Oreochromis niloticus: one gene and its partners. The protein of the gene in region 3 purifies or fractionates together with the protein of the main gene of each other region. This does not show direct contact. Links are inferred from orthologs where the notes say so. Each region holds a gene or a part of one and is shown on either strand. Other genes may lie near its edges.

What was found.
Region 1: the proteins of hsp90 co-chaperone Cdc37 (region 3) and ikbkg purify together in Homo sapiens (affinity purification with mass spectrometry; 7 studies listed by BioGRID and IntAct, with this or other methods). This does not show direct contact. The link is inferred for Oreochromis niloticus from reciprocal best matches to the Homo sapiens genes CDC37 and IKBKG.
Region 2: the proteins of hsp90 co-chaperone Cdc37 (region 3) and map3k7 purify together in Homo sapiens (affinity purification with mass spectrometry; 6 studies listed by BioGRID and IntAct, with this or other methods). This does not show direct contact. The link is inferred for Oreochromis niloticus from reciprocal best matches to the Homo sapiens genes CDC37 and MAP3K7.
Region 4: the proteins of hsp90 co-chaperone Cdc37 (region 3) and fkbp5 purify together in Homo sapiens (affinity purification with mass spectrometry; 5 studies listed by BioGRID and IntAct, with this or other methods). This does not show direct contact. The link is inferred for Oreochromis niloticus from reciprocal best matches to the Homo sapiens genes CDC37 and FKBP5.

The regions. Positions count from the first base shown.
Region 1 is NC_031984.2:33,182,180-33,189,836, reverse strand, and holds the start of ikbkg (NF-kappa-B essential modulator), read right to left. Parts: upstream 3,001-7,657; 5' UTR 2,933-3,000; intron 2,673-2,932; exon of another isoform or gene 2,321-2,672; 5' UTR 2,274-2,320; intron 1,725-2,273; 5' UTR 1,723-1,724; coding exon 1,584-1,722; intron 1-1,583. UniProt on the Homo sapiens protein: Regulatory subunit of the IKK core complex which phosphorylates inhibitors of NF-kappa-B thus leading to the dissociation of the inhibitor/NF-kappa-B complex and ultimately the degradation of the inhibitor.
Region 2 is NC_031980.2:29,212,192-29,219,017, reverse strand, and holds the start of map3k7 (mitogen-activated protein kinase kinase kinase 7), read left to right. Parts: upstream 1-3,826; 5' UTR 3,827-4,088; intron 4,089-4,155; exon of another isoform or gene 4,156-4,459; intron 4,460-4,586; 5' UTR 4,587-4,613; coding exon 4,614-4,706; intron 4,707-4,824; coding exon 4,825-4,935; intron 4,936-5,013; coding exon 5,014-5,079; intron 5,080-5,158; coding exon 5,159-5,204; intron 5,205-6,826. UniProt on the Homo sapiens protein: Serine/threonine kinase which acts as an essential component of the MAP kinase signal transduction pathway. Plays an important role in the cascades of cellular responses evoked by changes in the environment.
Region 3 is NC_031969.2:24,153,372-24,160,926, reverse strand, and holds the start of hsp90 co-chaperone Cdc37, read right to left. Parts: upstream 3,002-7,555; 5' UTR 2,768-3,001; coding exon 2,660-2,767; intron 2,452-2,659; coding exon 2,170-2,451; intron 1,260-2,169; coding exon 1,157-1,259; intron 1,070-1,156; coding exon 954-1,069; intron 854-953; coding exon 731-853; intron 1-730. Other genes in the region: cmc4 (cx9C motif-containing protein 4), read right to left, coding at 7,471-7,555. UniProt on the Homo sapiens protein: Co-chaperone that binds to numerous kinases and promotes their interaction with the Hsp90 complex, resulting in stabilization and promotion of their activity. Inhibits HSP90AA1 ATPase activity.
Region 4 is NC_031970.2:16,195,744-16,203,586, reverse strand, and holds the start of fkbp5 (peptidyl-prolyl cis-trans isomerase FKBP5), read right to left. Parts: upstream 3,010-7,843; 5' UTR 2,722-3,009; intron 1-2,721. UniProt on the Homo sapiens protein: Immunophilin protein with PPIase and co-chaperone activities. Component of unligated steroid receptors heterocomplexes through interaction with heat-shock protein 90 (HSP90).

The DNA of each region.
Region 1 (7,657 bases), on a different chromosome or scaffold from region 3:
TACTGCCACATCAAATCTAATTATACTTTTACAAACTCTTGCTCAGTTCTTGGAAATGCAATCAGATATGACTTTTATTTTTATTACACCCTTTCCTAACTGACTAACAACAGTAGCTCATGTCAACATGAGCATAGAGTTTAAATAATGATACAGACTGAGTTTGCTGACTCTTTCCTTGCCTTCCTCTGTTACGCTACTGTGTATGTTAGTCATGTTTACCATTATACAAATGTTGACAAAATAAATGTTCAACTTTATTAGCAGTAAAAACATTTCTCAGTTGAAGTAATTTACATGAGCTGCAGCACATAGAGGTTAACGCCAGCTAATTCTAGTTAACTTCAGATAGAGTTTGCTGTATAACTGAATATAGAAATCTTCCTCTTTACACTCTATAAACTCAACAGTGAATGACTAAAAATACTTTGTTTAAATGTTCCTTTGAAACAGTAATGTGTACCCAGTAAACACACCACATTACTTAAATTAATAAAGTAGTTTTTTGTGCACTTATATTGAGAGAGAAAGCATACCGATACTTTATACTGGACACAGTTAAAGTGCTGTGACTCACAAGGTGTGTATGGTGGTGTAATATCACCTGGACACTGTGACCAGTGTCCAGCAAACACTTTGAGTGATGCAAATGAAACGCCTCCATGTTTCTGCTGATCTAGCTTATGCTTTTCTGTCTGTATTTGTGGTGTAGGTAAAGGGGGATCCTGCTGCTTTGTGAGGTATCTGTTGTAGTCAAAACCCTTGCAAACAGGTGTGAAGAATTGTTCTATTTTATTCGTTGCATGCATCATTAGGTCTCCATAAATGCTTACTAATTTGTAAATGTGAATAAAGGAATTGGTAAATCTTTAGTAACATTTGCTTGCAAACTGAGACCTGGAAATGAGTGTACAAGTGTGTAAATGACCTGTAGTTAGAGACAAGCATTCTCACAGATATTTACATCTACAGCGGCACAAGTATATCTCTAACTCATGAACTGTCTATTTTTCAGCCATTAATATCTGCACACACATCTGTAGATTTTATTACACTAGGAAATCTGAAAATAGATTGAGGTTTTTACAAATGTACAAATCGGACGACTCTTCCTGTTAAATGATAGTTCTGCCTTACCACCATCATCAGATACTTGCTCATAGGGGATTGTCTGCTCTTTGGGGTTTTCCCTCTATTATGCTGTAGGGTCTTCACCTTACCATACAAATGTGACTAACACCAGAGACATTGTAAGAATGAGATGTGACACTTTAAGAGCAAAGACGCTGATAGAAACAGAACTTCTAGGGGGGAAAAAAGCTTCCTGGAGCAAAGTCGGTAACCTTTGAAGTATTTGTTATCTCTGCATAAAGTTTGTATGTCCCAGTGACCACTGAATTCAAGAGTTAATGTAGATAAATCCTTTAAAATGATGAACCACACAAATATGCTTCTAAAATGGTTTTTAAGGGACAAGATTTGCTTCTTTCTTCCTTCTTCTTTCTGAGTCTGCTGTTTGAGCTCATCACTCAGTACAGCAATATTCTTTTAAGTGACCTTTTTTTTCGTGTGAACACGCTTACCTCTAAGCTGCTGGTTGTCACTTAACAATCTGGTCACCACTTCATTGGCTGCAAGCTCTGGTGGGACCCTGAGGGTCGCTCCACTCTCTTCTCCGGACATCTCCCACTGCATGGGGCCATCGGGTTGTGGCTGCACCATCACTGCAGAAAAACATCAACATTACACCACATATACACACATTTCTTGTTTAATTAAAGCGTTATTAATATTGAACATCAATATGCCGATGACCTTCCCGGCATTCTTCATCACATGACACATGGCAGACCAGGCCTCAGCGCCATTTAGGCGGCCCAGGCTGCAAACTTTCATTTTCACTTTAATACAACGTTTAAATCCAAGTCCAGCTTGTGTGTGTGATGGGTATCTGACCTGACGATAGACGTCTGTGTCATGAGTCACCGATAAAATGCAAGTGATTTTTGAGCTCACGTACAGGAATGGAGGAAAACATTACGTCATCTGCACTACCGAAGCAATGGACTCGACACAAATCTAGATTAATTAAAGTATAAACGCCAGTCGCCAATTTTAGCCAAAAGCACCAGATCGCACCAGCTGTGTTATAGGTAACGTTATAAACTTGTTATTTTCTCCCCCAAAAAAAACAAACAGTATCAAACATGCCCCCCGTACTAAGCCCATCTGATAGGTAATGTAGCTGTATTACTATGGGAAACTTTACTTACCCAATCTCCTTTTTCACTCCAGTCGCGTAGAGTATCAGACAACACAGCTGTCAGTCACATACAAATTGTTAGTAAGGGTATTTAACGTAATTAAACCAGCGTCAGGGAGCTGGCGCTAAACAGCTAGCGACTTAGCTAATGGGCTAGCTAGGATAACAAACCAAAAAGGCAACAAAGTAATCTTAGGCACTTGTTGACTGACATTAAACTAGAACTACATTAACGAGCTGTCTGTCTTCAGAAAGATATTGTACCTGGTTTGTAATATTATTCCAACGGACTGAACGTATTTAACATGGGCTGAGCTATCTGTTAAAGCTGAAGCGAGTGTTGTTAGCTCAGGAAATAAGAGGGAAAATTTCACCCTGAGTTAAGTCTTTCAGGCTGTCAACCCCTAAGTCTTGCTAGTTTGAAATGTTTCACATCCCATTATTTATTAGAATTAATAGAACATCTTCTGAAACTCAACTCAAATGGTGACCCATTTTAACTGAAATGGATTACCCATTATATCTAAAACATTAACATAAACTGGGCTGTTAACTAAAACAAAAATGTGGTTTCTTTTACAAAATGTCAGCATTTTATCTGACAGAAACCATCATGAAATGGATTTAGAACAATAAATTATCCTTTTTATAATTGATTTATTGACTTACATGCTAAAATTGAATGTGTCAGGTCAGTCACGTGGTTTTCTGTGTCAGTCTAGCAATGAGGTGCTGACTTAAAAGTCTCAGACCAATAAAATCAGTCAACTCAAATGTTAAATGTACTGCACTGTCTTGGCACCAGCCTGAAATCACTGTCACTCACTGGCTTAAAGCTTTAAAAGAGCTAACATGCTTAAATCTTAAATGACCAGTTTTATCGATTTTGCTGATTTCATGCCTAAATTACACAGAGACACAATAGTTACAGCCATAGCTGGACTGGCCATCGGGCATACCGGGCATTTGCCCGGTGGGCCGCTGGCGATTTTTTGATTTTATGGGCCGATGGATTTTTTTTTTTATTTTTTTTTTTTAGGAAGGGTATATATAATGAAAGGTGTTGGATTGGCCAATTGGTCATGATCGACTCTGGGCTGGACCAATTACAGCCGAGGAGGCCGGATGCACCCTCCCCCTTGTTTAGCAATCTTATAGACGAACTAAAGAAAATGGAGAACAAAAAAAGGAAAGGAGGTGTTTATGAAAATATCACTAAATCTGTCATTTATTAATTTTAATATTAATTAATGATCATGTCTCACCTCTAGTGTTCTTGATCTTAATTTAAGGTTTCTACCATGTGTTGTAGATAGTTCAGGAGGTTAACTCGACCAAGCAGTCTTTTTGTTTCCGCTATGTACTGTTTAAAATCCAGAATAGGGAGGATGGTGTAGGTTTAAGTTTATTAGATTGATACATATATACCAACAAGGCAGTGTACATCAAAGCAGTTGTTTTCATGCAAAGGCGATTGACAGATCACGTGACTTTCGCGCATTGCATGCCGGGAACTCGTGGCAAAACAATCCAAGTACGCATCAAATGCAAGCTTTTGCAGCACCGCAAAACGTTCATTCTCCGGTTCCAATATCTTCTTGGTTTTTCTTTGCCGCACAAAAAAGGAATGTACAAAACTAAGGAGAACAATGCCGGTCCGTACAAAGACAGACTCGACGAAAAGGCAAAGAAAAGATATGAGGAAAAAATCAAAGGAGTGAAAGGGTCAGACCCTTATGAGCACACAGAGTGGACAAAGGACGTTAGCGTGCTGCCCAACTTTTACCACGCTCAGATTTATAATTATAAGGTTCTTGGAGTGAGTGCATACACTCCTGAAGTTTTTAGTAACTTCAGGTCACTGCAACAAGCTCAGGTACAGTTTACCGACGGATGGGTACAGGACCTTGAAATGCACTGTGTAGAACAAAAGACCATCGTACAAACAAAGGTAAGCTTACCAGTCTCACAAATCGTCTTCATAAATACACAATCGTTAACCGTTTATTAATATAACCTTTGAGCTCAACGGTAATTAATTAGTAGTGGAAATAATTTCTGGTACGCATTACAGAAATGTAGCAGTGACAATAATATTGTATGTTGTAATTGCACTGGACAATTAGTGATACAAAACAACTGTTTTATCCTGTGAATAAAAGTATATGTTTTTGTCATGGTAATAACAGAAGCGAAACGCAATATTGTGTCAGGACAATTCACTATTTATGCACAATAAATAAAGAAGCATAGCGCGACAATTTCTGTTCAGCGCCAGACTTGCTTGTAACCTATATCACCAATTATGTTAAGAAAAATGACGTATTAACTACTACAAAACACTGACCTTTGTGGGAATGCTTGGAGCAGACTAACATGTGAGCTGGAGTGTTCTGAGATGTTATATTTGGTATATCCAGACCATCCGTTGGCTCTTACTTCCTGTGGCGTGTCCAGCGGGGTGGCCTGGGGGGGCACAGGCCACCCCCCCAACCAGACTGGCCACCCCGAAGCCAAAACAATAAAATCCAATGAAATATCAAATGTACGATTATGTTTTTACAGTGAAGCTCAGATATCCGAGTGTAAGAGAATACAGCATCGGCTTCTGCGCTATGAGCATCATGTTAGCAAAGGTAGGAGAACCAAGCACGAAAGACAGCACCACAGAAAACAGTTTTTCGGCGAAAGATTAACAGTTTAACATAGCTGGACTGGCCATCGAGCATGGCGGAGCTTCCACGGCGGCTAGCAGGTGGATGAGGGAAAGGGGAGCCAGGAGGAGGAGAGACCCGAGGCAGCCGCCAGTCCAATTGTCAAGTGAACTGAACTTCAGGTAAGAAGTTATGACCTGGAGTCTATCTGGGTCAGATATAAACCAAGTTTAGGTGGAGTTTATTTTCGTTGTGCTGACTTTTTACAGTCAGTTACAATAACTCTTACTGCGTACTAGCTAGCATGATGGAGTTTCTATACAGCTGGGTGGATGCTGTGATGTTACTGATGGTGAACTTTATTTTATTCATAAGGTTAGTTAGTAGAGTTGCCAACGGCTCCTTAAAAATGAAATGGTCCCTCATTCAGAGACAATATTACAGGTTTTGTATTGAGCTGAGAAGAGACGCAGTTTGTCCCGAACTTCAGCTAGAATGAAAAAGACACAAAGCTGGAGTTATTCTGTGTCTTTGCTGCACAGCTGCCTCCTCTTCTCTCATTCTCTCCCCCTCCCTCTCCTGTTGCTACTTCAATCATGAAACTGATCAATGATCAGCTGATCGGGTTTTCTTTTTTGTTTGTTTATCGCCCACTTTGCGCCAGAAAGAGGAAACCAGTGGATGTCGCGCTAAACAACAGCAGCACGTTTAAGCTTGATCAGCTGTTGTTAGAATTTATTTAATATTAATTTCTAGTATCAGCTGATGTTTGCTGGAGCCACAGCTGTAAAGCTGCTGGTCATGATGTCGGTTTGGATATGTGGTGAGAGGGAAACATGAAGATGAAACCAGGAGATGTCCTTACTGAATCATCAGAGCTGAACAGGTGATGGAGAAACAGGTTTACCTTTTAGGTGACATGGATGAGTTGAAGGGAAGTTATGAACTGTTTCTGAGAGACAAATAACACCAGGATCCTTTTCTACGTAGCTGACAGCTGGTAACTGTGCAGGGGCGGGTCTAGCAAAGTTATGCCAGGGGGCCAGGTAGGGCATTAACAGGGAAAGGGGGGCACAAAGAAATACTTTTCTTACTTATTCTCATTTAAAATATCTAGCTTTTATTAAATAATTATCTGAATCTTGCGAACAAAGTTTTTATCTGACGTAAAATTGATAGAAATCATACATATACCAACAAGACAGTGTACATCACTGTCACAACAGCGTTTGTTTTCATTCAAAGGCTTTAATACCTGGTGGGCCGGTCTGTAGTCAAAATGCCCAATTTTTTGTCCCAGTCCAGCCCTGCAGGTTAATACTGGCAGTGTCACCATGCCAGCTGTATTTCATCATCAGCCAGTGTTGTTCTTTATACATCAGTATTACCAAAGTTTACCATAAGGCGGCATAGAAAGTATTTACTTGCTTTCAGGTTTCATTCAAATGTTAGTCTTTTCATTTGTTACCCCACTTTTTCCCTGTTTCAAAATCAAACACCAGTTTGTAAGAAGATCATCTTCTTTTTTTAATAGGCAGATAAAGTTTTGCATTGGCTAATTTGGCAATTGTATGTTAAAAATGTTTGTATTTTAATATTCAAAAATGTTTTTGCCCAAAACATATGTGCCCTATATGTCAGTAAAAATACTACGCAAATATTGCTGTCCTTGAATGCTGAGTAAACACTGACAAAGCACTGATTGTATCTCTTGTACTTCATCAACGCAGTATCTAAAAACTTTGCACCGTAGTGGTTAAAACCTCATTCTAATAAGAGTCAAAAGCAAATTCAGTTATTAGGTTTACAGGGTTATTGAATGATGGTTAACGGTTGGTAGATTTTTTTTTTTAACATTATCTGCCAATTACATCTGCCACCCTTCTCCAAATCTGTGCCCCTACCTGGCCCCCCCAACAAAAATTTTCTAGACACGCCACTGCTTACTTCGGAAACATGGCTTAAAAAATTTCTCTTCAACGACATCCGATAAAAAAAACCCCGATCTCTTTACCCGTCGGCTTCCCTTGGCTGTCATGCGACCGGTTATTGCAGTTAATAATACAACAGCTTCTTGCCATTTTTTGGGTTTCTTTTTATCGCTGTGTAACTGAGTTCAATTGAAAGCCTGCGTGCGCTAGTACCTCTTGCCACAAGTTCCCAGAATCCTTTGCGGTTTTACCCCTGAATGACGTCACATTTTCAATCTCTATCCTGGTGGGCCAGTCTCTAGTCAAAATGCCCGGCCGATTTTTTGTCCCAGTCCAGCCCTGGTTACAGCTAAGTGACATAACAGTGCCATATATACAAATATTAACTTTTAATATTGGTACCATTAGTACTAACGGACAATACTTCGATGACGGTGACAAAAACTGGTTAGATATTTGGGGTATATCCTAAATTGAATTATAATCAAACTATTAATATCTTTCTAAAACATACGACTTTGTCACCTTGAAGGACTATAAAAGAAATCAGGACTCACTTGTATCAAGTCAGTAAAAGGCCGTAAAACAAAATACATTTCTTGGTTTCAATTGCATTTGAATAATCCAACAATTCCAAGATGAGGCTTTGGTCACTACTAATATGGTTTTCTTTTTCATAATACAGTGGGTTTATGTTAGGATTTATCCCTTTCCATAATCAGTTTGGATACTATATGCTTCAGTTTTTACATCTATTTATTGAATTTATTGAAAAGGTCTGTGCAATAAAATATAAAAGTTCTTCACGG
Region 2 (6,826 bases), on a different chromosome or scaffold from region 3:
CAAGATCCTAACTGCACGTTGCTGGAAGCGGATGACGTATGCAATTGCCTAATGTTGATTGGTTGATAAGTAGCCACAAGGAGCAATAATGGAGTTCTCTGGGAAAGATGGAACAGTGAAAAAACACCAAAGATCAAAAAATAAAGCATCAAAAGCACAGACAGTGGCTGCAGTGAGGCTTTTCATTGTTTTTAACACTCAGTTTCACTACAGCTCTGTGCATGTTATAACTTTGCTCTCCTCCATGGCTGGCTCACGGACCAGCAACAACACAAGACACAGACTGGTCACTCTGCTTGACCATAAAACAAACAGATGAGAGGGCTCCATGAAATGAAAAGTCTGAGTATCAAAAAGGAAAAGAGAGACAGGTGGAAATTAAACTCATAGCCAAGTCCATATGAATGAAACTGCTTGACTTTATTAGTTAGCTTACTTCACTTCTAACAAAACAAAGTGTTTGTGTTAATTTGCCCAACATATCAACTATTCTAATTCAGCATTCCATGTAAAAGGGCCTCAAGTCACTTATCTGACGACCTGCTCCTAGGCAAACAGATCAGACCTCTGGCTCAGGCTCTCCCAATCCCATCTCCCCTGACATTAAGCCCCACTGATATTTGAAGAAGTAGGTGAGTTCTTTTATATCAAAACTTATCTAATTGTAATAATAATAGATTATCATTAAACCCACAAACAGAGCAGTTTTTTAGAAGTGTTTCTAGCTCTGCATATGAAGCGCCTTGGGGCAACTGTTGTTGTGATATTTGATAAAACTGAATTCAAACTGAATTGAATTGAAGTGAATATTGTGCACACTGCCTATGAACATGGTGAGAGCTTTCAGTAAGCTGAATCAGGTTCAAACCTATTTGAGTCAACTAAGTCTCAGGACAAAGAGATTTTAGTTGGCTATACTTTGTTTGAAAAGGATTCTTTCAGTTATATTTTCCAATACTTAATATTATAAATAAATTTGTTAATTATGTTAAAGTTAACATATTTGTGATTTGTATTTGTATTAAGTGTAAGGTACCAATCAGTGTAAAAAAGAAAAAGTAATCTAATAACCTTTTCATTAAAAAATTTAAAATGTAAAAAAAAATGGCTTGCACATCTCATCAATCCTCCATGAAATCAAAAATTCTATTTATCTAAGCAGAATATGTATTTTTAGGGCTTGCATGGTTTGTGATATTAAAGTGGTGGGGCCCAAAGTGATATTTTTTTCACTGTGACTCAATGACCTTGCACCACCCCTGAATGAGAAAAAAGACTGACATTCACTACATACAGAAAGCACAAACTCAAAAACTGTAAAATGAAAAGTCAGAAATGTATATATTTTTTTCATTGGTTGTTAAGGAACTGTATATATTATGCATTGTATATTGCGTTATGCATGCAGTTGATGACCTAATAGTAATATATCTTACTTTCGGATTAAAAACAATTCATGATTACAAGAATAAAAAAGACTTTCTTGCCATCTAGTTTGATTCTTTACATATGCTGAACAAACAGGATTATTTAACAAAATGTTGAATAAATATTCTGTATTCATTATAGTTGGCACCTGGTTGGGCAGGCAGCATGGACAACTGGAAAACTTGAGAATGAGCCAATGCAGAAGCTTCAAATTGATACCGTAGGTGCATTTACTAAAAATCCTGGACGAGTTTGACTCTCAGTGACCTTGACCTCAAGGTCAGAGGTTAAATTTTACGCAAATCTTGTGAATGCATTAACTTGAGAACAAGGTGATATGGCGTTGTGAAATAGATACCACAGGAATGCTTACCACGAAGCTGAATTTTTGAATTGAGCAGCAGAGTTGAATATGTGGATTTGGTGTTGTGTAATGGATTAAATGATTGAAGTGTGACACAAGACATATTAACAATTGAATAATTTATTCATTTAACAAACAGGAGCCTCAGTGGCAAATGGAAGAACAATATACAGCTACAACAGCCTGGCACCTCCTCATGCTGGCCACCAGCTTGGTCACGCACTGCTGTGGGATGGTATTCCATTCTTTAACCAGTATTTGTTGCAAGTGTGCTTCTCTACCACATCTCCCCTGTCTCATTGCATCTCTTATGTGGCAGCTACTTCCCCTGTCACACCCGTGCCTTCACCCTTGTCTGTCACAGAAACAAGGGTGAGATTGGAGTTACAGTAGGAAGACTATGCTCTGGGAAGGTTGCTGTGTCCAAGGCTGCTTAAGGACTGTGGTGTCCAACTGTGTCAACCTCTCCACGGGATCTTCAACCTGAATCTACAGATGGAGTGGGTGCCAACACGGTGGAAAACATCCTGTTCTGTGTCAATACCAAAAATAACGTGTCCACCTGAACTGAACGACTACAGACCAATGGCCCTTACATGGCACATCATGAAGATCTTGGAACAAATTATTTTACACCGAGACTATCCTTTACATGTGTCACCGAGCCCTAGCTCATCTGGCGGAATCTGGCCCTTATATGAGAGTTTTGTTCTTTGATTTTTCAAGTGGTTTCAATACCATTCAATCAAATATACTCAAAGAAAAGCTCACCATGATTCCTCCTTTGTTTCCTGGATGGCAAACTACCTGACAGAAAGGCCACAGTTAGTCAGGTTGGGGAACTGTGTTTCTAGGACATTAATCAGCAGCACGGGGACTTGACAGTGGAGTGGCTCAATTCCTTTTCATTGTATGCAGCAGAAATAGAAATGCTTGGACAACACTGCCATTGTAGCATGTATCAGGAATAGACCAGAATCTTAATATAGGAATATTGTAAAAGCCTTCAGTGACTGGAGTCACAAAAACTACCTCATATTGAACAACTATAAGACAAAGGAAATGAGAGTAGATTTCTCAAGAATCCCAGACCCCCTCTTCAGCCTGTGAAAGTTTGTGGGGTGGACATAGAGATGGTAACAAAATATAAATATCTAGATTATACCTAGATAACAATCTAAACTGGTCCCCAAATACCAACCTATACAAAAAGGGGCAAAGTTACCTCTTTTTGTTAAGAAAACTAAAATCTCTTGATCACAAGTAAAATGTTAAAGATCTTTCAGTCTATGATGGCAATTGTGCTGTTCTATGCTGCAGTCTGCTGGGGAGGCAGCATGAGTAACAAGGATGCAAGGAGACTGGACAAACTAGTGAGAAAAGCTGCCCTGGATCACAGCAGGTAAATGTAAGAAAATAAGATGTATTTAATCTTATATTCTGCCAGCCCTAAAAATAAAAGATTGTGCAGATGTTGGGTCAATATTCTGCTTAGATAAACAGAATTTTTTGCTTTCATGCAAGATCGATGACATGTGCAAGCCACATTTTTAATGAAAACGTATTTAGATTCTTCTTCTTTTTTTTTTTTTAGATTGATTGCTGGTACCTTACACTAAATACAAATACAAAATATATGTTATCTTGGAAGTAAATTTAAGTTCTAATCTGTAAAATGGCATAAAAGTATTTTTACTGCTTCAACATTTTTATTTACAATATTAAGTATCGGAAAATATAACTGAAATAATCCTTTAAATATCCATTTTCAAACAAACTAAACAACCAAACAACTGTCTTTGTCCTGAGACCTAGTTTAGGACTTATTGTTCTAGAAACATCTTTACAACAAAGAAATATTCCACACAAACACAAATTTCTTACTTTTTCTTTGTGTGTTATATCCGAACTAACTGTGTCAGTAATTCACGAAAAAAAATAGCTTCATTTTCTGAAGCTAATGTATTACGCTTCCCTACCTTTTTTGGTTTTCAGGGGACAGAATTACAATACGCACACGCTTCCTGGTGGAGCTACCCCCCTCCCCTGCGAAGAATCAAAATACATTCCTAGCAAGCCAGCTACACAAGTTGTCAAAAAGTTATGCTTGTTTGTCAAGTGGATAGACAAAAGAGTTTTTATAAAAATGGACGTTATTCCAGTTTTATTCTTACATGAATAGTAGAAAATCTCCCCATGTCCACATAACCGGCAGTGGTGACAAGTCATCTACGAAGAGTTGGATTGTTGAAGCTAAGAAAGTCCTGGTAGCTAGCAACCGGGCCAGCCAGCTAACGTAAGCTGCTATTTTAACAGGCCTCGAATTGCTTGTCTTTTTTAAGGTTGTGTTGTGACAATGTCAGACTCTGGTGAGGAATGGTGTGGTCTTATTCTGTCGTCCCAGATCTTTAATTATGCAAAAAGCTAACTTTAAACACTTCTTTTCACCAGTAGTTTTTCGTAGCAGTTGCAGAACTGAGCTAGTTATGCTATGCGGTTAGCCTTGACTGCATCAAGGAAACTGACAGGAGGCTAACGCCGATCCGTTTTTCGGTGCTTGACAGCTGGCGAAGGAATGACAATTTGCCATTTTTGAAGGCTTTAACGTGTTTGTTTTATTGAGTAGCCATGTCTCCTGACGGCATCAGTCTTAATTACGCAGTTACGGTAAAGAAATACGACTGCGTAATTGCAATTGATGTCTTGAAACCTATCTAAGTATCCCTGTGCTGATTTATTTAATATTTATTAATATTGAGCTTTTTACCTGTGTGTTGTTTGCTCGTTTTCATAGTAAGTTACTAGCTGACCTAAGCTAGTAATGTCTCTATCGTTACCACCAGCGGATATGCTTGAAACACCACCTGGGTATCCCTTTGAAGAAATCAATTATGAGGATATTGAAGTTGAGGAGGTAATTTGTGATTATTTTTGCTGTTTTCCTTGTCACTAGCGCATGACAAGAGTTAGTATCAGCTCGATGAAGCTCTTACCTAGTGAGTGTAACTTTGATGCTAACTACCTGTTCTCAGGTGGTGGGGAGAGGAGCTTTTGGGGTCGTCTGCAAAGCCAAGTGGAAAGGAAAAGATGTTGCAATCAAGACTATTGAGAGTGAATCAGAGAGGAAAGCCTTTATTGTTGAGGTATTTTTTCGTTACTGAAATATTCTCAAGATTATTTCAACAGCCTACCTGTGTGTAACCTTTCCTTTTCATCTCCAGCTCCGACAACTTTCACGTGTGAATCACCCCAACATTGTGAAGCTGTATGGCTCTTGCAATAATCCAGTAAGTTCACTGGGATCACAATGACTATTTGGTCTATTTGGTTGATTTTGAGTTTTTGATGGTGTTCTTTCCACCTCAGGTTTGCCTTGTGATGGAATATGCAGAAGGTGGATCATTATATAATGGTGAGTCAATATGTTTACTAGAAAACAGTATGGTTGTGTTACATGTTATACCATTTATTTTGCTTTGCTAGTAATGAACACGGCTTTGGACAGACACAGCCCTGTTGAGTTGATCCTCCAGTTGTTTGCATGTTCAGCCACTTTTCTGATTCGTTAGAAGTCCGTGTTTGCACAGCGACATGCAGCCCCTACACTAAATATTCAGATAGACCTGAGAACTGGTGGGGTATAAAATTGATCAGTATAAAAATCATTTGTGTGCATACAGTTAAGACAGTTAAATTAACATTTTCAGTAAGAATGAAAATTGAGTATTTAAACCTTCTGCAAATAAATCGCATACATATATTTCTTACAGCCTCATTTTCAAATAAGTTAAAAGACTTTGTCAAATGTAAATATCAAACTGTATATTTAGTTCAAAAGTTACAAAGACATATCACATACATATATATATGCGCCTCCCGGAGTATCGGGAACCAGCTGATAGGCACTCTTGTTGCCATGCAGATGATAAAACACATAATGGAGTGCATTAATCTGCAGGAGCTTCTGTCTTGCCGACCATTATTATCCCATGTATGTCTAGGCTTGTTGTTTCTTATGTTTACCCTGAGTGCTTTTATAAGCAATTTGTTATCATGTAGCAGCAGAGTCTGGAATTATTGGATGTCCGATAGGGGCAGGTTTATTTGAATTTTTACGCCTAATAATGGCCTCTCTTTCTTCCCTTTCTTGCGAAATCTCTTTTCCCCTAACTTTCATACAGTGAAAAACCATGAAAAGCAAATTCAACACTTCAGAAATGAAATATCGTGAAATAAGAGGGGAGCAGCCCTCACCTGGCCAGGAAACTACTCATCAGTTAGTTGTCTCGAAAATTTTGAACCTCTGAAAAAGGGGGACGAATTTAAATCTCGGTGACCTCAAGTGAATGGTCAAGTTTTTGAAAATGTTGTGAATGTGATAACTCAAGAGTGAAGCCATTTTTTTGTTTAAAAAAAATTGAATTAAAAATGTTTCCACTTCAGGCTCGACTGTTTGATTTATAATTCATTGTGGGTAGCGTTCAGAGACAAAACTTCAAAAACTTGTGTCTTAAACATTATGGAGGGCACTGTTAGTACTAATTTGTATCATGTTCATAAAATATTCTGCGCTCAGTTGTACTTACAATTTGCCAGAATTGTTATGGGGGCAAATTTCGCTGAATTGCTAGGTCACACTTCAGTGAGTTGGGAGTTTTCCCCTCGTGGCCATCAGGTTTGCTTGGATGAGGTTTTGGGACAAAGTAGTTTGCTGTTCTTAGTGGTTTGCTTATAAAACTGTTTCATAAACTACATTTTTGGACATAGTTTTGTGGGACATTGCAAAGATAACAAACGCTGAGAACTATTGAAAAGTCCTGTTGTTCTTGACGATATTATTACTCGCGTGTGTTTGTGCGCAAATGGAATTCCTGGTCTCCGACTTTGGCTGGCAATTGTTGTAATGATAGAAATATGTTTACACCAACGGCATCATGGTGGAGATGATTGTGTAAAAATTTCTGTGTGAAGATGATTTTGAAATTAGTTTCGTGGAATAAATTTGTACAAAATGAAGTGTAAAGTGAGTTTTTC
Region 3 (7,555 bases):
AGATGAACAGAATCAACCTAAATCCATCCCTGTGTAAAACAAACTGGCTTTAGTGAACAGTGAATACCTAACCTAGGCAAAGATAAACTAAAGCTAGGCATCTGAGAACTTGCATTTTTCTGCCAAGTCTTTTTGGATATGTGGTATATGTGGTAGTGACCATTGCCAGGTAAATCTCCAGTAAAGTGTAACCAAACTTTTTAACCTTAACTTCTCTAAGCTCCTGCCATAAGAACAGGAGCTTGGTTTGCATGCCACTGCAAAGTGTGGAAGAAAGAGCTCTCAGCCTGACTGGCCAACAAACTCAGAAAGACAAATAAAACAGACGTGGTGAGGTAAAACGTTCACGGAAACATTTATGCAAATAGGAAACCGTTTTCTTAAGTACCTTGGAACCAAACCATGCCAATGCCATCATCTTTAATAATTTAGCCTTGAGCTCAATTTAATACCAGGTCTCTGAACTCCACCCCATATTTAGGTCACTGAATAAGTTATAAGGTCCAAATCCAAATTGCAGTGCCTGTACTGATTCTCCTAAACCTTGACTCTGACATTTACTTTCCATACAATAATAATTAAAAAGACTAAAACTAATAGAAGCTAAACTAAAACTAAACATTTTCAAACAACAAAAACTAAACCAAATCAATAAATCACACTCTGGAAACTTTTTCAAAAGTTATACTATAGCTACCAAGTTAAATAAAAGCAACAAAAACATAGTTACTTTAATCTTTGCAAAAAACTGGCGAAAGCATCCACGGGGGTCAACTTTGAGGCTTTTGGCAAGCTCCAGAATGAACTGCATGACGATGGTCTGATGAGCCACTTGCTCCATCAATGCGTGTTTCTGCACAAGGAAGAAGCATTTTTACAGCTTAATATTTAGATGCAGTATGGTCACGTGCAGAAGGAATTCATGACAAACAAGCTCTGTTTGTATTACTTACCTCCTCAACTTCAAGGTCGATGCACATGATAACCAGGTAGTTGGCAGTCTCTTCGCATACCAGATGAGGATGGTCAGAGAGGTACTTCTGGCTGTCATCCCAACGCCGCAACATGCCTGCAGTAACGAGAGTAATGAAGAAGCATCTCTACTCTCACCAGTACCTTATAACGAGAGTAAATAATGATGCATGCGAGTGCTTACCGAAATGTTTGATCTCTTTCTCATATTTCTCCACAAATGTTTTGTGCTTTTGCTCCTTCTCTTCTTCGGTCTCTTCAGTTTCAGGTTTGACATTAACAATACTCTATGAAAAGAACAGTGGAAGAATGGACTCATTAAAGACAATGTCTCTGAGTTCTACAGAAAGAATGTCATTGCATACAAGTTAGAGATGTTAATATTAATGAACCCATACCTGAAAATTGCAAGAAAAGATTTCATTGTGTTACAAAGTCAAAGACTGACAGTAGATGTAGACTTCTGCATTGAATCTACACTGTAGGTATGTCGTAACAACAACAGTTGTATTGGCTTGTTCAGTACTGTCAATTCCTCCTCTGCATTTCTGGCTACTTTTTTTTTAATACTTGCTGAATCTATCAGGTAATTAACACTACGCACAAGCATGAATGCTGGCGAGAGTATTGGATCCTTGTGGAGGTTGCTTTGTAGGATCTGCAAAGACTCAACACAGAACTCTAAATCAACTGTAAATGTTGAAACAGAAAAGTCGACTCTGTATGTGTGCCCTTTCCTATTTCCCTCAGTCTAACGTCTACTCTTAAGTAACTGGTGATACTTCCAGCTTTGAGCCAAGGATCAGTGCAGGTGATGGCAGCTGAAGCCACATCTGAAGTACCATGTCCTTTCACACATTTTATTCTAAGGCAGGACAGATGGGCACAGTGGTATAGGAGTAGAATGGATGATAAAGCAAGGTGAACAAGGTGTTGAACTTTTGAGGGGATCTAATGGCTCTGTTGTGGGGGACATGTGGTGATCATGTTTTTGGCCAATTTTTCCCTTGGATGTCAGGCTCAAACAAACAATTGCACAAGTTAAAAGAAGAAATACGGAGAAAAGACACAACAGTTTTGTTAGCTTTTGTTTTCCTGAAAATACTTGACAAAAAAAAAAAGAAAAAAAAGAGTGTAATAAATGATGTGCGATGTAAAACCTGTAGTGCTTTTTAAGCTCCACTTACTCTACCTCACCTTGCTGAACCCATCCTTGCTGAGCGTGTCTACATTCCATGGCATCTTCTTCTCCTCCCGTTGGTAGTCTCCCACCTTTCTCTCCCAATCCCGTTCCTCTTTTTTCAGTTTCTTCTCCTCAGCCTGAACTTTGCTCAACTCTGCTTTGGCATCTTCTGACGTTGAAATGGTCAGCTCCTTGATTTTCTTCTGTGTGTCTGCCAGCTTGCGTCTGCACTCGGACAGTCCCTTGTTTAGTTCTTCACCTTTCTTCTGAAATTCCTCCATCCGCTCCACACGAGCCTGAGGTCAAAACATAAAATCTTTACTACTTGTTTTTGTCAAATATGGACTTAGTTGCAAAAAGTTAAACATTCCTATATTTATGTTAAAAGTGAACACAGCACCAAAGTAAACACACGAGGTCAGCTAACAGTTCAAGTCAAATATGCACCACTTTTACTTTATGTGTAGCATCTTAATTGTAATCATGCGTGGCTTATTGGTATACCTGGTGTCTCCATCTGAAGAGGCTGGGTGTGTCGATGTTTGGATGGGTGTCATCCTCATCGTCCGACACCTCAATGTGGTCCCACACGCTGTAATCTATCCTGGACATCCTGACACCAAGACCCCAAAGCTAACACCGTTAGCTTACAATAGGCTTCGGCTACGTTCGTGAGCTATGAGAAGCTAACAAGTTTGATTGAAACGAGGACAGACCGCAAAATCGCCGCACTGCGCAGAAATACGTATTTGTTTCTTTAGAAGAGATTCTTGCTGTGTTAGATGTAGACAAACTCAGATGAACCTCCCTGAAGACAGCGGGCTGGAGAGTGCTACAGAATTCTAGAAAGAATTGGAGCTACAGATTTCCGTTTGACGTCATCACGTCATTGCGTCAACAGGACGACGCCGGAAATCGGAACACAAGAGTGCTGTTCCTTTCCCTTCGACTAGATTAAAATAAAATAAAATAAAATAAAATAAAATAAAATAAAATAAATGACTCACTGTAACTTCTCTTCAAAACATCATCGTTTTAAATTTGTCAGAACAAAAATGAAGTGTAAAGGTAAAGAATAATTTTGTATTTATTTAGTCTTAATATGTTATAATACCTTAAAGTATAGAGACTTAAAGAATTTAATTTAAAAGGACTTCAATTAATGAAAAATAGGAACCCCACATCTTCTTCTGATTGCCACAGAGAACCACCTGTCTCCATCTCATCCTATCCCTAACATCATCATCATCCATCTGTGTGTCCTTCTTCACTACATCTATTAAACTTCTATGTAGTCTTCCTCTTTCCTTCCTGCCCACTAGGTCCATCTTCAGCATTCCGTGTCCTCTATATCATTATTCCTCCTCTAAACATGTCCATCTATTTTCACCTTCATCTATTGTAAGTACTGCAGTTCTGCACATCACCCTCACTCTTGAATATCGTGAAGGTAAACAATCTGGGTAAAAAGTCCACTGCTCATCTCCAACAGGTATAGAGAAACCATCTATACCAGCCACTTTTCACTCTTTATCCTCTCTACACCTACCCTCACTTTCTCCTTACTAATCCCTTGCACTTCCCGATTCACCAACTGTCCTCCTGTCCTTCATGCATCCTCCCTCACCCACTCATTTTTCACATTAATCAGCTCCTCAAAGTACTCCTTCCACCTTCCAAGCCCTCTTTACTCGTTAGTACATTTCTGTCTCTATCCTTAATCACCCTGAACTGCTGCACATCCTTTCAAGGTCGAGGGCTCTGCCTAGCTGATAGAACAAGTCTTTTTCTCCTTTCTCAATGTCCATTCTCACGTGCATCTCACTATAAGCCTTTTCCTTTGCTGTAGACCTTGCTTACCGGTACTCATGTCTACATTCTTTATTTCCCTTACTATCCCACCTTGTCTTTGCTAACTTCTTCCTTTGAATGCTTTCCTGTATTTTTTCATTCCAACACTAAGTATGAAATATATTCTTGTCAGTTTCCCTCACCACTACAGCTGTACTTTCCCAGTCATCTGATGACTCTTCACTATTACCCAGAGCTGGCCTCAACTCTTCCCTGAACTCTGCACAGCATTCTTCCTTCCTCAACCTCCACCATTCAGTGATTATCTCTGCCTTCAACTGCTTCCTCTTTTTGATGTCCAAACTCATCTTACAGACTACCATCTAATACTGCCCAGTTACATTCTCCCCTGAAACCACTGAGCAGGCTCCTGTCTCTTTCAGATTACACCTTCTACATGTTTGTTTGCTCCATTCTTATGCCACCCTCTTCTCGACCCACTACCATCAGTGCTTTCACATTTCTTTCCTTAACCCAAAACCTCTGATCAACTTTTAACCTACATATCCACTGAACGCTGCTTCAGTCACCACTCTCCATCACTTCATCCAACTTAATCCAGGATTCCTCTTTCTTTTCTAACTGGCATCCAACCTGTTGAACATATGAACTGAAAACATTCAACATCGCTAGATCAAAAGATCCAAAGCCTGCTTTTCTTGATTTTTTTCTTTTCTTATTTTGTATATAGCAGTTTGTGTATCTTGCAAAACCACAACTTTGGATATGTCTTTGGCTATACATTCGATTGGTCTGAATGTATAAACCTTTGTCAACACTCTTTACTTTTACATGTATAATTCTATTAAAGCTATAGGTTAAGAGACTAAAGCTTAAAGCCTTAAAAAATAAATTTCTCCACAGTGATTCACTTGCATTTGTACGTCAAGAACAGCAAGCAGACATTAATCACAATTACAGCACAGATGTCATTTCTTAAATTCTAGATATAAGATATAAAGACACCTGCTAAAATGGCTCAAAGGGTGGTGGAAATTATGTGAGAGGCACAGGAGGAAGAATAAGATGAAGAACACACATTTTTGTGCACGAATTGATAACCCATATGAGAAGAAACAGCAGAAGTGTGAAGTAGGTGATTTAATTTTCTCACAATTTTGTACTCATTAAAGTGTTTCACATTTTCCCAGACTACAGCTTTATATGGTTTCTAATTTTTTTTTATAATTCTGTTAGATGAGAATAAAACGAAACTGGTTTCTCAGCAGATCCTCTGTTGCCACAATGATGACTTGGTAAATAAAAGGGAAGCTGAGGAGTGGATGGCAGTATGTGTGTGACTTGAGTTACATGTTTTGAAAGCTGTTTACATTTTACGTCCTAGGTGTATTGTGCAATGTACCATGTGTGGTATGATTATTCTGAATGGTTCCCTGTGTGATCTGACAACACTGTGTGGTTTTGAGAACTTGCAAAACTTGATGTGTTAGTAAGATTTGACAGAAGTTGTGTGAATTTACTTGTTTAGAGTTTTGACAAAAGGGTGCAAGGTTTCAAAGTGTAAAATGAGCCTGAGCAACCGTTTACAGCTGCTCAAGATGGCAATGACTCCCATTAAGAGAATGTGGAGCTGTACCGGGACTTCCAAAGTCATCAGTCAGCCATCATGTACTAAGGAAATCCTTAACAATGTAGTTTGTCTGGGTCTAACAGGTACAACCAGGGTGTCAGTGCTAAAATAATCCAAGGCCTGGATTCACAAATATTCAGACCACGCCTAAAAAATATTAGGCATAAGTTACATCTTCAGAGACATTTAGGTACATTTATCCTATACACTGTGTGCACATTTGCACTTGCACTTTAAAAACAGAGGGTAAAATAAGATGCATAGCTAAAAATAAAAGGTTAAGGGTATATTTAAAATGTTACAGTAAGAGGGAGTCCCGTATAATAATAACCTATACACTCCATAGTGTAGAGTTTTACACGTTCACCCAACAAGCAAAAGGTCCCTGTTTCAACCCATCTGATGTTGTGTCAAGAAGGGCCTGACAAATCAGAAATCTGGTGCTACTCGCTGTAATGACCCCTTGCAAATATGGGGGCAGCTGGGCCACCTTTAAAAGTACACAACAAATTCAAGAACAAACAACCAACTTTAAACCACAAGAATATCCACCACAAACTACACAAGCCGAAAAAATGACCTTTGTTTTGTTCCAGAGAGTCATATGGGGCTCTTCCCATTGTTCGACTTGCACAGGCCCATTCGCTCCAAAAATCAGTGTCCCCACTACTGAGATTACTTCGTAGTCACTAAGCTACTATTAATCAAATAAGTAACATGAGCTTGTTTTTTACTGTAATAGCTTAATAGTGATTTAGGTGTCTTTTTCAAGACCAAACTGAAGGATTTAATTTTACTAAAATTGTTCTTCTTTTTGCTTCTTTCTTTATGAGTTGCTAAAACTATGCCAGTAGAATTCAGCTGAGGGGGTGCACTGACCTTTTTGGATGGGCCTGGACCCCTGGGGCCCATCCATAACACCAGGGACTAAAAGTTTTAAGTCACTGAGGAGGTGTGGCTGACCCAGTTCTGTTGGAAGCATTCCTCTAAAACCGGGATGTGAAACATAAGGCCCGAGGGCCCGAATCGACCCAGCAGAATGGAAGGTGAAAACAACACACCTAGGAATAAAATGTACCCAGGACATTATGTAGTTCTAATTACTCTTATGTAGTCACTAAGGTTGTTTAATTAACTGAAAGCCACAAATCTACCTGAGTATTACTAAATTCACACCTCCACTTTTACCTGCTTCCATCAAGAAAATGTTTGACACATCTTAAATTTTTATGACTTTCTTGTCCTAATCATTGCATGAGTGGTGAATGATGCTCCTAAGTTTAAAAAGTATAACCCAATAGTTTCATTCAAAGTGCAAATATTTTATTTCTTCACCAGAAGGAAAAAAAAAACTGTTAGAGCCTTATCCTTGTGTACCCAGCTAGCATTAAACTTTGTCTTTCTGCCATGTTCTCCTCTACACCCCTAACAGTTTTCCACTGTAGGGTGTTCGCTGTAGGCTGAGATGTATGTTGTATGAATAACAATTTAGTCTCGATTTCCAGGGAAATTCTTATTTAAAAAAATCTTTCTCATTACTAATTAGACTAAAACTCCTTGCCACACACATACTTGAAATTTCATACTAGGCACGAGAAATACATTGGGTGTGGACAGAACGACACCATAATATTTAAATACATTAGACAGCTTGCATTGTTCAGCTTTGCCAGAGAGGTGTGCCATTTAGTCCCAGGGGAATGAGTGTTTATGAGGCAATCTGCAATATCAAAATGTCTGCTGTGAGAAAACCCTATTTAAATTTAACAAACGGATGGTAGCAGACAGACAAATAAATATGCAACAACTCCACTGTCATGTTATACTGATACAATGCAGAATTATCACTTGCGGGAATAGATGCCGCATGGAACTATTCGCTACTTTTGCTCTCTGCGGGTTTTGAGTCTTTGAACCCGGAGCAGCAAATGGAGTTTCCCGCATGCACTTGACAGCAC
Region 4 (7,843 bases), on a different chromosome or scaffold from region 3:
TGGGTGATCAAGTAAACCAATTAATGCAGTGGCAAACTGATTTTTATGAGGGTATGTGGGGGGAGAAAGTTTGTTACGGTGGTCTTCTTTGCCCAGGCTGCACCACAGTGCTGGATCTCCTTTGTAAAAGGCTTCCTTTAAAATGTTTTTACCGTATATGTAGAAGTATACCATTTTGAGCTAAAATGGCCTCTTGGTATCAAGCCAGTTTGGACTCTTAGAGTTATACTTCATCTGAACATAATTAAGGTCTTTCCTTTATTTATTTATTTTCAAATAAGCCTTCTACAGAGCAGCGAATCTTTGAGCAGCACAATAACGTATTGCGCAATATATTTGAAATTTATATTTTTCCCACTGACAAGCAAATGTAAACACATTCATTTTAGAATGAGCAAATAAAGAAAATCTTTGACTTCAACTGCTTTGGTGTTTGATGATTAAATTGCTGACTGTATGCTGGGAAGCCGTGAGAAAGGGGATTTTATATAAAGGCAATCTTTGTATCGTCTGTGTTTTTTAAGCAGAGATGTTAAAGATACGAGATTATCTCAGTGATGTCACAAGCAGAAATCTTCTCACATTGCACCACGTTTCTAGCTCAAGTTTAGGTAGGGCTCTCAGGACAGACTGTTTCAAATAGTCAAAATAAAAAGTGTTAGTGTCCATTCAGAGTAACGTGACAAGGACACAGCTGCTGATCAGACAACAGTTCTAAAATTTCCACAGACTTCATTTGAGGCAATAACCATTCTTCGGGCGGCATGTTGTTTTACTGGAGAGGAGCAGCAGCTCGCCTACCCTGCATCAGTTTTCTGGATTTTTCCATCAGTCGCCCTGTCTTACGTTATGTTCTGCTGTGGCGACAAAGAGCCTGCAAAGACTAACATTAAGCAACAGCACTTGGTCTGAGTCTCATCAATAAGCAACATGTCCAGTGTACTGAATGCCGATAAAGAAATTGACCTCATACTAAATGAGATCTTAGGAAACGTAAACTATGGCGCAACCCGGGCGCCTCAAACCACAGGGTGAAACCATAAAGATCTGTATTACTGACATTTGCACTGTTTGTTCTGGTTCTTCAGCCTTGTGTCTCCCCTCAAAGTGTTTGTGCACTGAGCACAAAGTGTCCATCCCTCATTAGCAGCATCTTGTCTTGTGTCTTTGATATCTGATGGATTTGGTTTTAGATGTAACTCGTGCATGTGTGTGTGCATTTGTGTGTCTGTACACAATGTTCCTTCTATTCACAGTTCCCCCGCTGGCAAAGCCTGACGGTGTTCACCAATCTGAGACCCCTTCACGTACAGCCCAGTTTCAATTTTTAAACCAAAACAAGGTGATTTAAACTAGTCAAACAGAACCTATATTTACAATTAGATTAACATATGATTTAAACAGGGTAAAACAAGTAGGTGAATGCAGACATACATTAGCATCATTTCAAGTAAATGTTGTGTGTTCTATCAATTTGACCCTTTTAGCTTTTGCTTTTTCTTTATGATAAATATCCAACTATTAAACAATGTAAAGAGGAACAGTGTGCAAAGAGTGACAGCACAGAGATGATGGCATGTAGACTAAATGTACAGCTACTTTGCAGAGGAATGCAGGAACAGAGCATATTAAGACAAAGACACACACACACTTCAGCCTATCTGTACGTTCTGCCTCATATCCGTAGTCTGCTGATTAATATGTGAACGTGTGAGTACACAATGTGCATGGCAAACAGACATCCTGAACCAAAGCACTGTTTGACATACGGGATTTTTTTTCCCCTTTCACCCAACAACCCTTTGCAGAGTTTAAAAAGCGACAGGAGTTGACTTTTTGAAAAAGTCAAAAATTAGGTTTGACGTGAAATTTGACACTGCGAATCTTAAAAATAGATTGTTTTTGTTAAAAGGTAACAGAGAACCCCCCTCCCCCCGTTTTCTTTAAATAACATATCATATCCTTCAGTGCTTTTAAAAACAACAACCAGTTTATCTATATTCCGTATCTACCTTGAGGCAGTTTGATTCATCTCTGGGATGTCGCCTCAGCCTCTGTTTTACAGGGCGACTTGCTTGTGCTGCTTGTGCTTCAAATCTAACTACCCATGCAGGGACGCCCGTGTATTTGAAGTTATTCAAGGGGCCACCATCATATCCTGTAATGTTCAAGTGCTCCAGAATAAATGCTCGAGCGCCAGAGTTGCTGGTGTAATTCTCAGAAACAGTTACACAACCTGTAATTTATGTAGGTACACCTAGGCTTACACGTAGTCTAGATATAAACTGTTGTCCTCATCCTTCCTTTCCACAGGGACCCGCAGCTAAGTGCCACATTTACACACACACACATACACACACACATACTTTCACCTATTAACCCCCACCACCCACCACAAACACACGCGCGCGCGCGCGCAGTGCCTTATCAGCCTTTATTTTCCAGCGCACAGTGGGATATAGCTGTAACCTCATGCGTGTGAAAAATTCGGCATCAATTCTGAGATACGTTTTGATTTTTCTCTCTTTTTGTATATGTGTGTGCGTGTGTGTGTGTGTGTGCGTGTGCTTCTAAAAAGCAGTCTTTAAATACAATGAAGCTAAATCTTCACGATGTATCACAAGTGTCAGTTTAACTCAGCCAGGCATGAATATGCCTTAATTAGCTCCTTAATTAAGTCTGTCAGCAGCAGAATAAAGAGGAGTAAATTAAATCACTTACATGTTCTTGTGATCCGATAATAACAATTTCTTCAGCGAGTCGGTCGGTAAATTGGAAAAGCGCGTCTCTTTCACCTAATTCAAGCCCGCCCTTCTCATCTCATATCCATGGTACTAAATGTTCTGCCCATGTGGTTATTAAGCAGCGCTCTTTCAGTCTAGTTATCCCTCCTTCCCTCCCTCTTTACTTTAATCTCCGTCCTCGCCGGTGACGATAAACCTGCCGGTGTAGTAGTAGCCACATGGAGCTCAGACTTCAAAATGACACCGGGGAGGTAGTGAGGCAGAGAAGCACACAGAGAAAGAAAAGAGAGAGAGAGGGGGGGGGGGGGTAGAGTTGTGGGAGGACGTTTAGAGTAAAATTAAGGGCAGGTCTTGGAAAGCAGCCACAAAGTAACACAATGTTCCGGCTGTACTGTAGCTGTACCGCTGCCGCTGCTGATGAGAACACTGTGTTCCAATAGACACCCTGACCTGTAACCCGTTCCGTGCCGAGACAGCCAGGCCGGGAACAGCCTGTACCGCAGCAGGCTGTCCTCCCCGCTCAGCTGACAACACGTATCATCAACAGTACTGTGTAACAGCCCGCCTGCAGACACAGATGAGGATGTGTAATCACCGAAGTAAAAGCACACCTCACTGCCCGATAAGACGCGCGGTGATACGGATTAGCGCACTGTTTCTGTAGACTTACAAAGAAAAGGGGGGGGAAGTAGCGTCTTTGCTTATCGGAGACTTTTATGGCTTAAAGGACAGTTTTCTGTAACTTATTTCAGGGTAAGGACTTCAACAAAAGCGCATGCATGTTATTTTTTACTACTGTTTCTTTTATTAATTCCTGGTGGTATTTTTCCATTTTGGCATTTTTACTGGGCGGAGATCATTTGTCATCTTTTCCCAAACAGTCTGTGTTTACATTATTGTGGTGTTTACGGCTTTGCAGCAAAGTATGAAGATCTTTTACTAGTTGGAAAAAATACCACTCAACCAAGTTAGATATAAAAATAAAGTCAAATATAAAAGATGATTTTCTGTGTATGCTCCTCATGTTACATACTAATTCTCTATTCTCACTGCAAGGTGTTAGCTTTTGTTTTACTAACTTTGCAAGTAAAATCTTGGCGACAGCTGTTTTGCTGTCAAACCAGTAACTTAAGACATTTTCTTTATTTAAATCTTATTAAAGTACAAACACATATTGATGTACTTAGAGTGAAAAGTCCTGTGTTAGGCGTCCATTTAAATGTATAAACACGGTTCAGATGGTGCTGTGTGTGATTCTAGTATTATGGTATTCTAGTAATGTGCATCATATTCTATTAACTCTTGTTTTGCAAGTCAAATTTTGGGAACTATAAGTTCCTATAAATATAGGCTATATGCACTGTGATAAAAAAAATACAAGTCATTATTAAAAGTAGAAGTACTCATTGTGAGGGAACATAAGGGCAGTCCCTGACAAAGTGCTGAATGATAAGTCAATGTAATAAACCAAGAACAGATGGTGAATATGCCTAATCCTGTCTCATCCTATAAATCATTATTAATCATCAATTAATCATTAACCTCCCGATACAATAGTTTTCATATTTTGTCAGTATTTTACTCTGATGTGGATGCTCACTGGAGCACCTGTATGTTAAACCTGTCTAACCCATTACTGTAGTCCAATAATTGCTACTGTATCTGAGTAAATTACAAAATGAAAATTACTTACTGTGAAGTACAGTTCTTCTTAAAGTCTTCAAAGTTTAATTAAAGTAAAAACCTAAAAAAAAATACCCTTGTCTAAGTGTTACTATATGTAATGGGGCACTATAAACACATTATAATTTGGGAGGTGCTTTTTAACCTGGAAATCCACATGAAGAATAAAATAATAAATATTCAAAATTGTAAATGTCTTTTAGTTACTGAAGTCATTTTGATTCATTATGTATTCCATATTAACAGGATTAGAAAAAAGTGTCACATCTAACACACACCTAAAGTGCTCACTGTGAAGCAATATGTTACATAACAAGTTAAAGTAGCCAACCTGCTTCAGGTGAGCATGAAATGCATTGCATTTTATGAAGGATGCTTTGCAAGTCAAATTTTGTTCTGGTCAACAAAGACCGCAGTTATCAGGAAGAGACAGTTTTCACCTGAAATATACAAGAAGTCAAAATAGTAGTGAAGTACTAAACACACACCAAAAGAGATGAACATGAGAGACACAACACCAAGTATTTTAATATAATATTTCAAAATATTATCAGGATGATATATATATATATAAAAACCCAGCAGGAGTTGATTTATGTTGCAATCAAACTTTTCACAGTGGTCATGTTCTTCTCCAAAGGGCATGTGTTTGAGTATATTTTGACCACGACTCCTAAACAGCCTGTAAGGAGGCAGAAAACTCTCATCATGTGGAAACCCCAGACTCACACTCTGCATGCTGACGAAATCTTGTGTTCAAACAGCCCTGCCTTTATCTCCTTTCTAGGCTTTTTATATTCCCTGATTTGATTAAAGCAAGTGTTTGCTTATTATCACATTCATAGTTAATATGTTTTCTCTTTCACATCCCTAAGATGAACCTTTTTTTTTTTACTGACACATTTACTTTGGAGATAAGAGAAGCTAAAATCCATAGCAATAAAATATTTTTATGGCCTTGCTTTTGTGCTTTTGCAGTTGAGGATGTTGGCATTAATATGTCAATAAACAGTGCTGAAAATATGACACGCTTTATGGCTGCTTCTTGTGTCTATGTTTATCACATTTATTGCATTAAAAACTATAAAATATGCCTCGAATTAATGTCATGACTGAATCATTAACGAGAAGTTAACCAAACTTTGTTCATGTCAGACAGCGAGAGGAAAACTTTTCTTTATAGAACCGAGATGCTCAAAGAGCCTCGTCTCTCTAGATGATGAATCCCACCATTATAGGTGGTAAGGATACTGTCTGACCACACTGCTGGCAGACAACAAGCTGCTATTGAGAGGGAACATGATGATCCTGTTAATTATATAGGTGACATAACACAAGTGAACCTGACTCTGCAAACGCAACAGGGATATTGTCAGCTGGGGTGAGTAATCTTCTGAGCATCTGGTTATCGGAAGAAAGTAGCTTTCACACACATGTGTTTTAGAACATGTTATTCACATTTAAAGGAGGAAAAAAACAGCACAGAAACAGAAAGATGTGGTCGTGTGATGTAAAAACACAACCTCACTATGTCTCAGTGCCCGCATGAAACCTTTAAAATAAAAGTACTGATTATTTAAGATAAAACACCATGTCAGGACGGTTAACTCCTGCACAGGCAAAGGTTGGTTTGTTTGTTTTACCAAAATTCGTGAACTGTGGTGTCCTGGTTGCTTTGTCTCTCTTCTTTTTCCCTACACTGTAATGCTTAACTGGAGGTCAAAATGACCTAAACAGGCTTGGGCTGAACTGAGATGCATGAATAGATATGTATAGTGACACATGGCTTGAGATGTTGTTTTCCTTCCTGAAACATCAAGAACATCTTGTTTCTGTTCTGGTGAAAGCACCCAGGCAGGCGAGAGACAAAAAAAGAAGAAGAAGAAAATGAAAATTAGATGGTCAAAGGTTACATCAATGGTCTGTGGCTGTTTTATATAAATATAATGGGGACATAGATGCAGCTGTAACTTATTTTTAGAACTTAGTGGCCTTCTTACTGCTACTTACCTATCACTTTGCATCAGAAAGTCATTTAATCTTTGCTAAAACAAAACAGTAAACAGCAAAGCTGATAGGTGCTTAACAGATTTTGCTAAATACTGTGTAAAGTACAAAAATCTGACAGGCAGTTGCAAGAATCCGTCTGTCTGAATGAGTATCTTGGTGTAACCAGAAGCACGCGGGTGAGTTCATTCAGGGATACGGGCTGCACAGTCATCAGGAAGTGAAACAGAACAGAATGTGCTGTACTAATCTGATTGAAAAACACTGTGCTGAGTGGATGCTTGAAAAAAGAGATGATTCATTTAAATAGCTACAAGGAGAACCCTATGGCAGCGGGGGAATATATGCACGGAAAAACAAAGGCAGCTTAATGCTTCATTTGGTGAAGCAAAAGGCAAATGTGAGGGCGAGGTTAAAGAAGCACTTGCTGTCACACAAACATGCGCTCTGCAGCTACAGGCTGAGCAACATAATGCTCTTTGTTTGTGTTCTAGGCATCCGTGTTATGTACAGGGGAGTAATCTCCCGAGTGATCCCTTTTATCCCTGAACTTTTGCCCCCCCCTCGAAGCAGGAGTTCTTTACTGTTGTGTCTGCCAAGGGCCCCAAATAAATGAATAACAGCAGTACTATTTTCATCATGTCAACACAAACCTTAAAAGGTTGTGTTTTATTGTCAGCATAGTTCAGTTTTGGTGTGTTTTATGTTATGTTTGACATTTATCACTTTGTATAACTGTCCTGAAAGATATTAACTTCTTTTTGTTTTTGAGTTAAAAGAAAAACGGGAGCTTAATAGCTTGTTTGGAGTCCTGGAGAAAATGAAACATTTTTGAAATCATTTCAAATCAGCTGAAGACTTTTTTTTTATATATATACATCAGATCTTTTCTAAGTAGACTACCACAGGAAATATCGAATTTAAATCTCAAACAGAACGCAACTGTAAAGGAGACTTTATTTTATTTTATTTTTTTATGTTAAAAATCCCAAATTGGTTTCTGCATTTCATTTTGTTGATCTCAATGAACAAAGTGATAGAAACACCTATCAGTATTATAAAACCAGCTGCGACATTCAAATTAATCATAACACAGAGTCAAAACTTCCCTTATTTGCTTTATGAAAGGATGTTTCACTGACAGTTAGGACAGAGTGTACTTTTAAGCTATGTGTACCTAATAAAATGGCAGCTGAATATATCTGTTTATGACACATGAGAGATTTCCTCCAATAACAACGCTCTGTGGTCTTTTCTGCATTTTACCTTCATTGAACAAGCTCAGTCTGTGGAGCGGGGGTATCATTACTTTAAACTTTTTTTTTTTAACTGAACTGGGCTCTAATCAGGTCAGGAGGGAAATTATTTAGTGGATGACTAATACTTTACAATAACTTCATGTACAGAAA